Linked DNA regions of Drosophila melanogaster. The protein of the gene in region 1 interacts with the protein of each later gene in a biochemical or structural test. Each region holds a gene or a part of one and is shown on either strand. Other genes may lie near its edges. The genes, in order: ss and tgo.

Region 1 (5,128 bases):
GTGATCAGCAGTGACATTGATGTGACCAGGCAGCTGCTGAGCAAAGGCAGCGAGCAAAAACAAGTTAATAAGAAACTTGTTACGAAATTAGGCAAAACGAGGGGTAGATTGCGAAGTGTGGGTCCAGAGTAGAAAGTCGCATTAAGGATGCCGGCGAAAAACATTCATAAGTCCTCATCGGGGAAACGACGTCATCGCGAAATTGTCGGACGAGCAAGCAGTCAGCAAAGAAACCCCAGAATAAATATTTATCATATACAGTGGGATTGTGTATATTTTGTATGTATTTTTTTAGTTAATAATGAGAAAATAATTATTAAGCACATTTAAAAAATCCATTCAGTTCTTATATATATTTTGCTATTTTTTACAGTATTAGGTGTAAGGTCATAATATTGGCCCTCAATTTTAAAGATCAATTGATGACTGTACTTTAAAGCGATAATGCAAGAAGAGGAAAGGCAGTGCAAAATAAGAATATTTAGAGGGAGGTGGAATAAGCACCTGCACTGTGCACTTCTCTTACGAAGTGGAAGCGTAAATTGATAAGCTGCAAGCTGGAAAAAGTTGCAACGCACCAAAACTGGTTGCAAGCCCTTCCACTTTGCTACACTTCACTCCACTCCACTCGACTCAGCTCACTTATTAGTGCCACCGATTGACATGCGCTGCCTTCTGTTTTGCTCATTCTTCGGAGTGGATCCTCTTCTGATTCTCCCGATTCTTCTGATCCTGCTGTCTTCGGAGCTGCTGTTGTCCTTAGTTTACGCAGCGAGATTTGAGTGAGACACCAGACTGCTGGAGATTCTAGCTGAGGAAATATTGTTTTCTTCAGCCTTCTGACTTGGCATTGAATAGTTGCACGCAATACAAATACAGTGCCAACAATTTCGTACATGGCTGACGTCACAATAAAAGAAAAATGCTTTTTCGAAATTGAAGGCATTCTACAGTGGTCATTCGATAACAATAATAATGTTTTATTAGAGTGGACGTAAGTAATCAAATTAGGAAACCACACAAATGAACTACAATGGGCTGCATGATTGAAAGGGCTCGAATATTGTGGCTTTCCAGCGCCACCAAGTATGCAACACGTTTTCAAAGGAAAAAGTTCATAACGTAACATTTCGCCAACTTTTAAAAATAAACATAAAATTATTTGGTAAATCACAGTAATCATATTAATTACAAAATGAATAGCTTGTATAGATTGTTATTAAAGTTAATTACAATTACTTATTAAAAACTTCTTTATGAGTGCCAACTGTACCTTTGACGAGTGCATCTCCATCGCCATCTGTGACATGCGGTCAAAGACGGACGCAGCATATGGGCCATGGGATAAAGGGGCCTCGTACACTGTCCAATCGGGTTCTTGGGCACGGACATTTTGCCCGTCTAGGTGTAGGAATATGATTTCTGGTTTTGTGCAGGGCAGCGGTGTGCATTTCGTTCTCCTTGTTCTTTTGCGGTTGTCAGGTGGCACATGTGAATAAATCATTCGCGATAAGCGCGAAGTGAGTGCTCATGTTTATGGCCTTAATGGTTTTGGTCACACCAAATAAAATTTGCATTTCAGTGGCAAAACGAGGTAAAATCCGGCTCAGATAAGTTTGAAATAGGAGAAGAGTATGGCGGATAGATGCCATTGAGCGATAACACTGATAGCTCTTAATTACCGCCTAATTAATTAAGAGATGAGCGATGTGCCCCGAATTTCTATTTCCAGTTGGTAGTGCGCTGGAAAGAGTCGGCGCTACTAGGCTGTCAGTGTAGTATGTGTGTGCGAACACGCCCCCTATAACGAAACTACAGGGTGCGAACGAGATAGCTGCAGCACTTCCAAGACCGACTTGGTTGGTCGCTCCCTTCCAGTCGCACGTATGGCGACGCTGGAACGGTTGGTAGTGGAACATCGTTCGCTCTGTCTCACTCCCACGCGACCGCGTCGCTTGGCGATCGCTCGTTGCCAGGACGACTGGAAGTGGCCCCAAACACGCCGCCCGCGTGTTCCATGGCCAGTGTGTTCCGCCAGGACTGGTTTTTCCATTCGTTTCGTGGCGCCGCTCAGTTCTTGTTGGAATCTCAAAGCGTTTACGTGGCCGCAGCGCAGCAGAGTCACGTTTGAAAGAGTGCGAGTGAGAGATAGCGACTTAGAGCACCGCGCCGAGTGCGAGTGAGAGAGCGCGCTCCATCGCCTTTGTGCCTCGTTTCAAATGCCCGTTTGTCCGTTTTTTTGGCACTGTTGTTCATTCATTCACTCGCTTCTGGCGCTCGCGTGCAGTTGCAGTCGCTGCTCCCTCCTAACGGTTGTTTCGCCGTCGCCAGAATCCCGCTAAAAGGTGCGTGCGTGTTTGTGTGTGCGTGAGTGTCCCCCGAATAAGGCAATACAACAACAATAGAGGCGAAAACAGAAACAAAAGCGAAACGCAGCACGCGATACCCTGTAACTGGAGGTTCTGTAAAGGCTTCGAGGAGTCACGTGTGCGAATTGCAGACCGCCGGCGGTCATTCACTTCTATCTATTTTACTATTCCAACACACCCACGCGCGCGTGTGTGTGTGCGTGCCTGAAAAATGTCACTTTGACAACTCGCCTCTGGTTGCTCTGCCGGCGGATCTGCCTACGTCGACGTCGATCGTGCCGCAAAATGAAAATGATTTGCGTGCCGTTCTTGCGTTAGCGCTTTTGGTTCCGTGCCGATTTTGATTTCCTCTGTTGCATGCGTCGTCATCGCAAACATCGCCCATTGATAAACCAGAGCCCACGAGCAACAACACTACCAACACAAACGGCAAAAGTGCAAGTGAAAAAGCAAAAGTGTTGCCACGAAAGAACCAAAACAATAACCTGCAAATCGCAGCCACTCGAATCAAAACAAAACAACACAAACAACAACTCGTTTTTGAAAGCAATTGAAAAAGGATTGAGGGATTTTTACAGTTTTCTGACTAGAATGTGCCATTCAAATTAATCAACACTATTGGTTGACTCTGATGTTTAATAACTTGCTAACATAATCTGTTATACTTTTTTAGTCCTTTGTGAGAAAAAATTGAAACAAATTTAAATATATTCTTTTTATGAATAATATATTTTCAAAATTTACCAAAATATAATTTTCAAAATAAAGTAAAGCCTTAATATCATATTATACTATTCTACAATGCAAGGCAAAATCAAATCGTATTAGACAACGGCTCCATGACATTGCCAACTTAAACTAATTGGATTTATTTTAGATAAACTGAAATCATTCTCCGTCGGGACTAATTACTTAAAAAATCTATTAGGTTGAACCGAAGTTATCGCCTTAGAAAATCATACAACCCACAATCGAATGAAAAAAAAAATCAAAATTCCCAGCCTTTCTCAATTGCTGAATCACAGTTTCGCATTAAATCCCTCATTTAGCTCTAACCAACTGAAACTACAGTGCAATATACACAAAAAAATAAAAAACAAAAACAAAAGGAGCGCGAGAAATGAAAAAGCAAACAAAATGTAAGCGTGATGATAATTAAAAATAAATACAAAGAAGAAAAAAACGAAATTTACGCGTGGCTACAACTCCGAAACCGAAAACCGCAGCAGGATCTCAGCGGATCTGATCGCACTCAGCTCCTGGCTGTGTCTGTGTGCGAGTCCGTGTGTGTGAGAGTGTGTACCCAGAGCAAGCCAAATCAATAAATAAAAACCAATTACAAAAGGAAAAAAAGCGAAATAAGAAAGCCACGACGAGGAAACAACCTGTACGACAGACGAGCAGAAGGCAGCAGAAGACAACAACGAAATATTGATACGAAAAATAATAAGAGTTAAAATCATTCACGACGGCGACCATAACGAACTCCGCCCTAGCAATGAGCCAGCTGGGCACCGTCTACGCCACCAAGCGAAGGCGACGCAACGGCAAGAGGTGAGTCCAAGCCCCAGTCCAATCCCACAAACCAATACCGATCCGAATCCCAAGATACAGATACGGATACGGATACAGATTCAGATATAAATGCACAGCGGGAGGCGGAATGTTTGTGGAGCGGGTTCTTGGGTGCTCTGTTATTACTGAAAGATTTCAATCAATGCGATTGGCTGCACTTACCACTTACCAGCTTGCCACCTTGTGGCGCCACCCGCTGACGATCCATCAATCTCCGTAGCTACTGGTCTTGAATACCCCAGATTCGATTATTAATGATCCGGTGGCCACTTTGTTGACAAATTGCCATCGCCATTGACTTTTGACTTGGCCCTCGGATGAAATGAAGGGCGGTGAATTCCCCCTTTGCCGCCCGATAGCCTCAAATTGATTTGCATTATGCATGTCGGGGCAGGTTACCGTGAAATTACAGTAGCCAAACAGTTGATGGAGATGATGATGAACGGTCATGCTGATGATGATGACGATGACGGCGGCCCCTCCGGCTGTTCGCTGGGGGAGATCGGAATCTGCCTGTCCCAAGGTGCACATAATTTCTGATAATTTTGTGTACTTAGCTGCTGCAACCGCACAAAGCATAATGTTTTCAATATAAATATATGAGAACTCACGCATTATCATGAGCAGCACTGCTAAATATGCAGAAGGCGAGGAGCGGCAACTGCAGCCCGGCCACGCCCCCTCGCCAAGTGCAGACCACCGATCGCTAATGTTGCGACCCCCATAATCAAGAGCCACTGATCAGCTTCAGCGCCTCAGTCTTGAAAGGGTGCAGAACGGGGCAGCTCAGGTCTGCGTAGATTATCTTCGGAAAAGCGAAGAACCAGGATCTATTTAGGATAAGCACGCAGTTGATAGATTGGTTATCCAACTCATCTAATATGGCGTGTAATGTTCGTCTACTTAGTTGTAGTCGGATTAGTAAACCAGTTATTAACAGTATAGCTCCATTTCAAAGATACTCTACGGGGAATATTTACTATTAACCGCTTAGCTTTAGTATTAAAATTTTACATTAGATGTTTTAAAAGATTTCGATATAGACCTTATAGATAATAATAACTTTATATGTTATTATGATATTATTTCTATTAAAACTTTACCAACTTAAACTGAAACATTTGTTTGTACAAGGCGTTGTGCACTTCAGAGTAAGTTCCTTGTGTGCAATTTAATTCCCCTTC
Region 2 (5,765 bases), 7.4 Mb from region 1:
AGAGCACCGATTCGAGTGCCGAATGCACCATCTGCTACGAGAATCCCATCGACTCGGTGCTGTACATGTGCGGACACATGTGCATGTGCTACGACTGCGCCATCGAGCAGTGGCGCGGAGTGGGTGGTGGCCAGTGCCCACTGTGCCGGGCGGTGATCCGGGACGTCATCCGCACCTACACCACGTAGAAAGGTCGCGGGCGTTTCCTAGCCAAGCAACATTTACTCGCAATCAAACCTACTAAAGCTACACATTATACCATACACACAAGTTGTTGCATTTTAAACGCAATTGAGCGCAAAGAATATTATATTGGAGAGATAGGCATTATTTTTGCAGACTAAAGATTAGATAGTTTACGCAGCTAGATTAGTGTATGAAACTATCAACTAATTTATCACACGTATGTTTAATTTTTTTGTGATGTTATAAGTAAGTGCGCCCCAGAGCCAAAACTATGTATTGTTCAATCCAACAAAGATATCTTCGTTTTTTCAATTTTTTTCAAACCTTGAATCGCCCATTTGTGCGTTGTATACTGAAAAACCAAAGTATTGTATAGGAGTTTATAGTATTTTGAATTTAAATTGGAATTAATTGAAAGTTGTTGCAAATTTACTTAGTTTTTCTCTATGTCTAAATTCCAAACGATGTGCAAAATTAACAAACACAAACTACAAGGATTCTTTATTTGGCGATTAATCATTTTGGTGCTAAATGTTTTGAAAGGCAAAATAAAATTGTTAACGGATTTGAAAAGTTATGTTTAAGCTTGCAGCAACTACGAATGACCTTAATTTGATATGAAATCACAAGAAGCAAATATTGACTACTTTCCAGCAAGGAAATGGATATCGACGCAACTCAAATAAGTTTGCAGCACAAATTAATGAACAAAGATTGATCAGAAAACACTTATGCACGTAAACCAAAATAGAAAACTGCAAGAGCGTGTTTGTTTAAAGTTAATATTAGTCTAGCCCTAAGTACTTAAGTTAATTTCTAGTCAACGAATTATGCTGAAGTTAAATCTAAACCGGACTTCATCCAACAAAGACACCACAAAAAAGACGTATTAAGCACGCTAAGCTATTTTAATGAAGCCGCATTTTAAATTACACTTAAGTAGTGCACGTATTTTAATGGAGACTTAAATATATTTAACTATAAACATAGAACAAAAGACTTGTATGTTGTACCAACAGCTTGAATGAAATATGGAAAATGGAATGCCCATCTAAATAAACCATGCAGTTAGAAAATTGCCAATAATTAATTAACAATACCAAGCAGATTTAACATGAAGGACAAGCAAAGCGGATAAAACTTTACCTAAGATTGTATTAAAACTGAAAAAATGTAATAAGCAAAGAACACAAAGAAATATGCGAAATGGAATAAAGCGCAAGCTTACTATTTTGTTATAAGAATGCATCCGGATAGGAGTAAATGAAGACATGTTATTGCCACTAATAATAAACTTTTAATTTTTTAAAGAATCATAGTTCGTAAAATTACGATACTGCGCCTAGTTATGACTAAACATTTAAATGTATTTATGAAATTATATTTGATATATGTAAGAAAACGCAATGCTGTAATACCATTAAATACTGACAACAATATCAGAAACAATGATGGTTTTATTTATTTTCTGGGAAAAGCGATTTTTTAAATGGACGCCGATCTTGTATGTTTTTGAAAGATAAAAACATTTTCACCACACGACAAGCGGTAAATTGATTTACTTAATTAGCCAACAGATAGCTGGGCCTTAAAAAAGTCAATATTAAATTAAAATTTTATTGTATATTTGTGTTTATTTTTTAGGATGAAAATTTTAAAATGTAACGTTCTAGTTTTATAGTAATGCCACTTGGTCTTGATTCAACGCACCTGTGTTGCCACCTAGCGCATTGTTATCGATTTGCTATACACTGCATCGGCATATTTGTTAGTCCACACTACGGTCACACTTCGCGCAGTAAACAGAGATTTTATCGTGTAGTGTAGAAGAAAAGTACAGAATTAATGGTAAAAGCGCATAAGACCAGCCGAATAAAATTGCCTGGATAAACCAAGTACCTCTGTACACCCCCCATTGGTGAGTAGAAGGGTAAAAAAAGCGAGGGAAATAAGGTTACTGGCCAGCCAGCAAGTGTACACACACAAGCACGACGTAGACAAAATACTAACCCCTACCCCTACCCCGCCCCTCTCTCAATTCCACGAACCTTTTTCCACAGAGCACAGGCGACCCAAATTACGACGAACGTTTTCTAATTACGCATTCCAAGCATGGACGAGGCGAACATACAGGACAAGGAGCGGTTCGCCAGCCGCGAGAACCATTGCGAGATTGAACGACGTCGCCGCAACAAGATGACGGCCTACATCACGGAACTCTCGGACATGGTGCCCACCTGCAGTGCCCTGGCCCGCAAACCGGACAAGCTCACCATTCTCCGCATGGCAGTGGCTCACATGAAGGCACTGCGTGGCACAGGAAATACCAGCAGCGATGGCACTTACAAGCCCTCCTTCCTGACCGACCAGGAGCTTAAGCATCTTATCCTGGAGGCGGCCGATGGTTTCCTGTTCGTGGTATCCTGCGACTCGGGCAGGGTGATCTATGTATCGGATTCGGTGACTCCCGTGCTGAACTACACCCAAAGCGATTGGTATGGCACTAGCCTGTATGAGCACATTCATCCCGATGATCGCGAGAAGATCCGCGAGCAATTATCAACCCAGGAATCGCAGAATGCCGGCCGCATCCTGGATCTAAAGTCGGGAACTGTGAAAAAGGAGGGTCACCAGTCCAGCATGCGTTTGAGCATGGGTGCTCGTCGTGGTTTCATCTGTCGCATGCGGGTGGGCAATGTAAACCCGGAGTCCATGGTCTCGGGGCACTTGAATCGTCTCAAGCAACGAAACTCCCTCGGACCTTCAAGGGATGGCACCAACTACGCCGTGGTTCACTGCACGGGTTATATCAAAAACTGGCCGCCCACCGATATGTTCCCCAACATGCACATGGAGCGCGATGTGGACGACATGAGCTCGCACTGCTGCCTGGTGGCCATCGGCCGTCTGCAGGTCACCTCCACGGCAGCCAACGATATGAGTGGATCGAACAATCAGAGTGAGTTCATCACACGTCATGCGATGGATGGCAAGTTCACGTTTGTGGATCAGCGTGTCCTTAACATATTGGGATATACTCCTACTGAGCTGCTGGGGAAGATCTGCTACGATTTCTTTCATCCCGAGGACCAGAGCCACATGAAGGAGAGCTTTGACCAGGTGCTCAAGCAAAAGGGACAGATGTTCTCGCTTTTGTACAGAGCCAGAGCTAAGAATTCGGAGTACGTTTGGCTCCGCACACAGGCCTATGCCTTTCTGAATCCATATACCGACGAAGTGGAATATATAGTGTGCACCAACAGTTCTGGGAAGACCATGCACGGTGCTCCCCTGGATGCGGCGGCTGCTCATACGCCCGAGCAAGTGCAACAACAACAGCAGCAGGAGCAACACGTTTATGTTCAGGCTGCCCCAGGAGTGGACTATGCGCGCCGCGAGTTAACTCCAGTGGGCAGCGCCACGAATGATGGCATGTACCAGACGCACATGCTGGCCATGCAGGCTCCTACGCCCCAACAGCAGCAGCAACAACAGCAACGGCCAGGATCGGCGCAAACCACACCAGTCGGATATACCTACGACACCACACACTCGCCGTACAGTGCTGGCGGACCATCACCGTTGGCTAAGATACCCAAGTCTGGCACCTCACCCACGCCGGTGGCACCCAACTCCTGGGCAGCACTGCGTCCCCAGCAGCAACAACAGCAGCAGCAGCCCGTGACCGAAGGCTATCAGTATCAGCAGACGAGTCCGGCCAGGTCGCCGAGCGGTCCAACCTATACACAATTGAGTGCCGGAAACGGAAATCGCCAGCAAGCGCAGCCAGGAGCATATCAGGCGGGACCACCACCGCCACCCAATGCGCCGGGAATGTGGGACTGGCAGCAGGCTGGAGGACACCCGCATCCGCCGCACCCAACGGCGCATCCGCACCATCCGCACGCTCATCCCGGTGGACCAGCAGGAGCAGGACAGCCACAGGGTCAGGAGTTCTCAGATATGCTGCAGATGTTGGATCACACGCCGACCACGTTTGAGGATCTGAATATCAATATGTTCAGCACGCCGTTCGAGTAATACCCACACCATTTCTTTCGATTCCCACTCTTCCCCCGTCCCGCAACTTAATCTGTGTCTCTCTTAACCACTTCTCAAGTGCAATCCATCTTACATTGTTGAAATAATTCAGCCAAACGCATGCAAATTGTAATCTCGTAAATAGCATTTTAAGTACATAGGGGTAGTCACGTACACGATTCAGATATCTTTATTTTTGTGTGCTACGTCTTCTTCACTTCCACCTCCCGTATCCATTAGCCCGCCCGCCACCGCCTCCACTTAACCCGCTCATTGGCCGTGCAAAAGTATTTACAATTAAGGCCTTACGATTGTTCGTAACTAAAGGCAATGTGTTTACACCGCTATATAGCCCATGAATTCTAAACTTTCTCATCGATTATATAGGATTAAGTTCATATGTGGACACGCTGTGTGCAGAGTATTCATTTGTATTTGTCATTGAGCATTTTAAAGTTCATACAACGTATAAATATATAAATAATTAAACAATTCGTAGCCTAATATACCACAAATTGATAGTTGTAAGCAACTCAGCAAGTGTACCACTTCCACGCTTTTCCCGCGAACAACATTGACACCATTTCCCATTAATTTTCGCTCATTTTTCGCCAAGGCAATCAGACGTAGACGAGCAAACAATATACGGTCGATATGTACACTTTACATGCTTTATGTGCAGCTTTTCATTTTGTTTTAATTGCATTTTATGCCGCGACAACAAAAACTTCCAAGCTCAATACAGTGGCGCTCAAAATTGAATCGCACTCGCAGAAATGAGACCATTTAATTAATTACGTCAAGTTCAAACATAACATTAGTTAGTTAACCTCACTTCGAGAGAACAAATTCTAAACAACTTTTTAGTCGCTAAGTCCCAACATTTGTAAGTAAGCTCACCACAACGATGATAATGCTTAAAACTTTGGTTATTGAGAATAAAAATTTTGGTTTTTACTGAAAATAAACTTAATGTACTACAAACTATGGAACTTTAGTTACTGATGAGGTTTATCTTTTGCCCGATTTCATCTAGCTGCCGCTGCTCTGCGGGGGAGCTGCCGTACGATTCCTCTTAAAGTCCCTGAATCTGGGTCGCTTGGCGGGCCTCTCTACGGGTGAGCCGTCAGCGGAGGTCCCTCCCATGGTCGTAGCTTCTTTTTCCTGATCCTCATCGTCGCTCTGTTTTGCTTTGATTTGATCTTCCCGCTTCTTACGGGCATTCAGCCAAGACATCATCGTTTTGTTCATCGGTGGCTTTGCGGGCTTAGCCGCCAATTCGATCGGCTTGTTGCACTCCTCGCTTTTGTTTCGCGAGTTGTTTACCAGCTTGGTAACACGATGCCACTGCAGTTCGGTAGCCGGACGCAATGTAGCCAAGGCCTCCTTGTCGCTAACTCGCTTAAAGTCCAGCCAATCCTAGAATATGCGAGGATGGGTAAATTGGACCTGGATTAACGAAGGATTAACAAATGCTTTACTCACATTCATCTGCTGCTCGGTTTCCAGGATCGCTGGCATGCGGTAGTGCATCCAGG

What was found.
Region 2: the proteins of ss (region 1) and tgo form a complex in vitro, tested with the Drosophila melanogaster proteins (one study listed by BioGRID).

The regions. Positions count from the first base shown.
Region 1 is NT_033777.3:16,400,635-16,405,762, reverse strand, and holds the start of ss (spineless), read left to right. Parts: upstream 1-2,072; 5' UTR 2,073-2,345; exon of another isoform or gene 2,346-2,367; intron 2,368-3,418; 5' UTR 3,419-3,867; coding exon 3,868-3,923; intron 3,924-5,128.
Region 2 is NT_033777.3:9,016,216-9,021,980, reverse strand, and holds tgo (tango), read left to right. Parts: upstream 1-1,958; 5' UTR 1,959-2,104; intron 2,105-2,246; 5' UTR 2,247-2,298; coding exon 2,299-4,227; 3' UTR 4,228-5,208; downstream 5,209-5,765. Other genes in the region: neur (neuralized), read left to right, coding at 1-188; CG11986 (uncharacterized protein), read right to left, coding at 5,260-5,646, 5,713-5,765. UniProt on the Drosophila melanogaster protein: Heterodimers of tgo/trh are involved in the control of breathless expression. Plays a role in the cellular or tissue response to oxygen deprivation.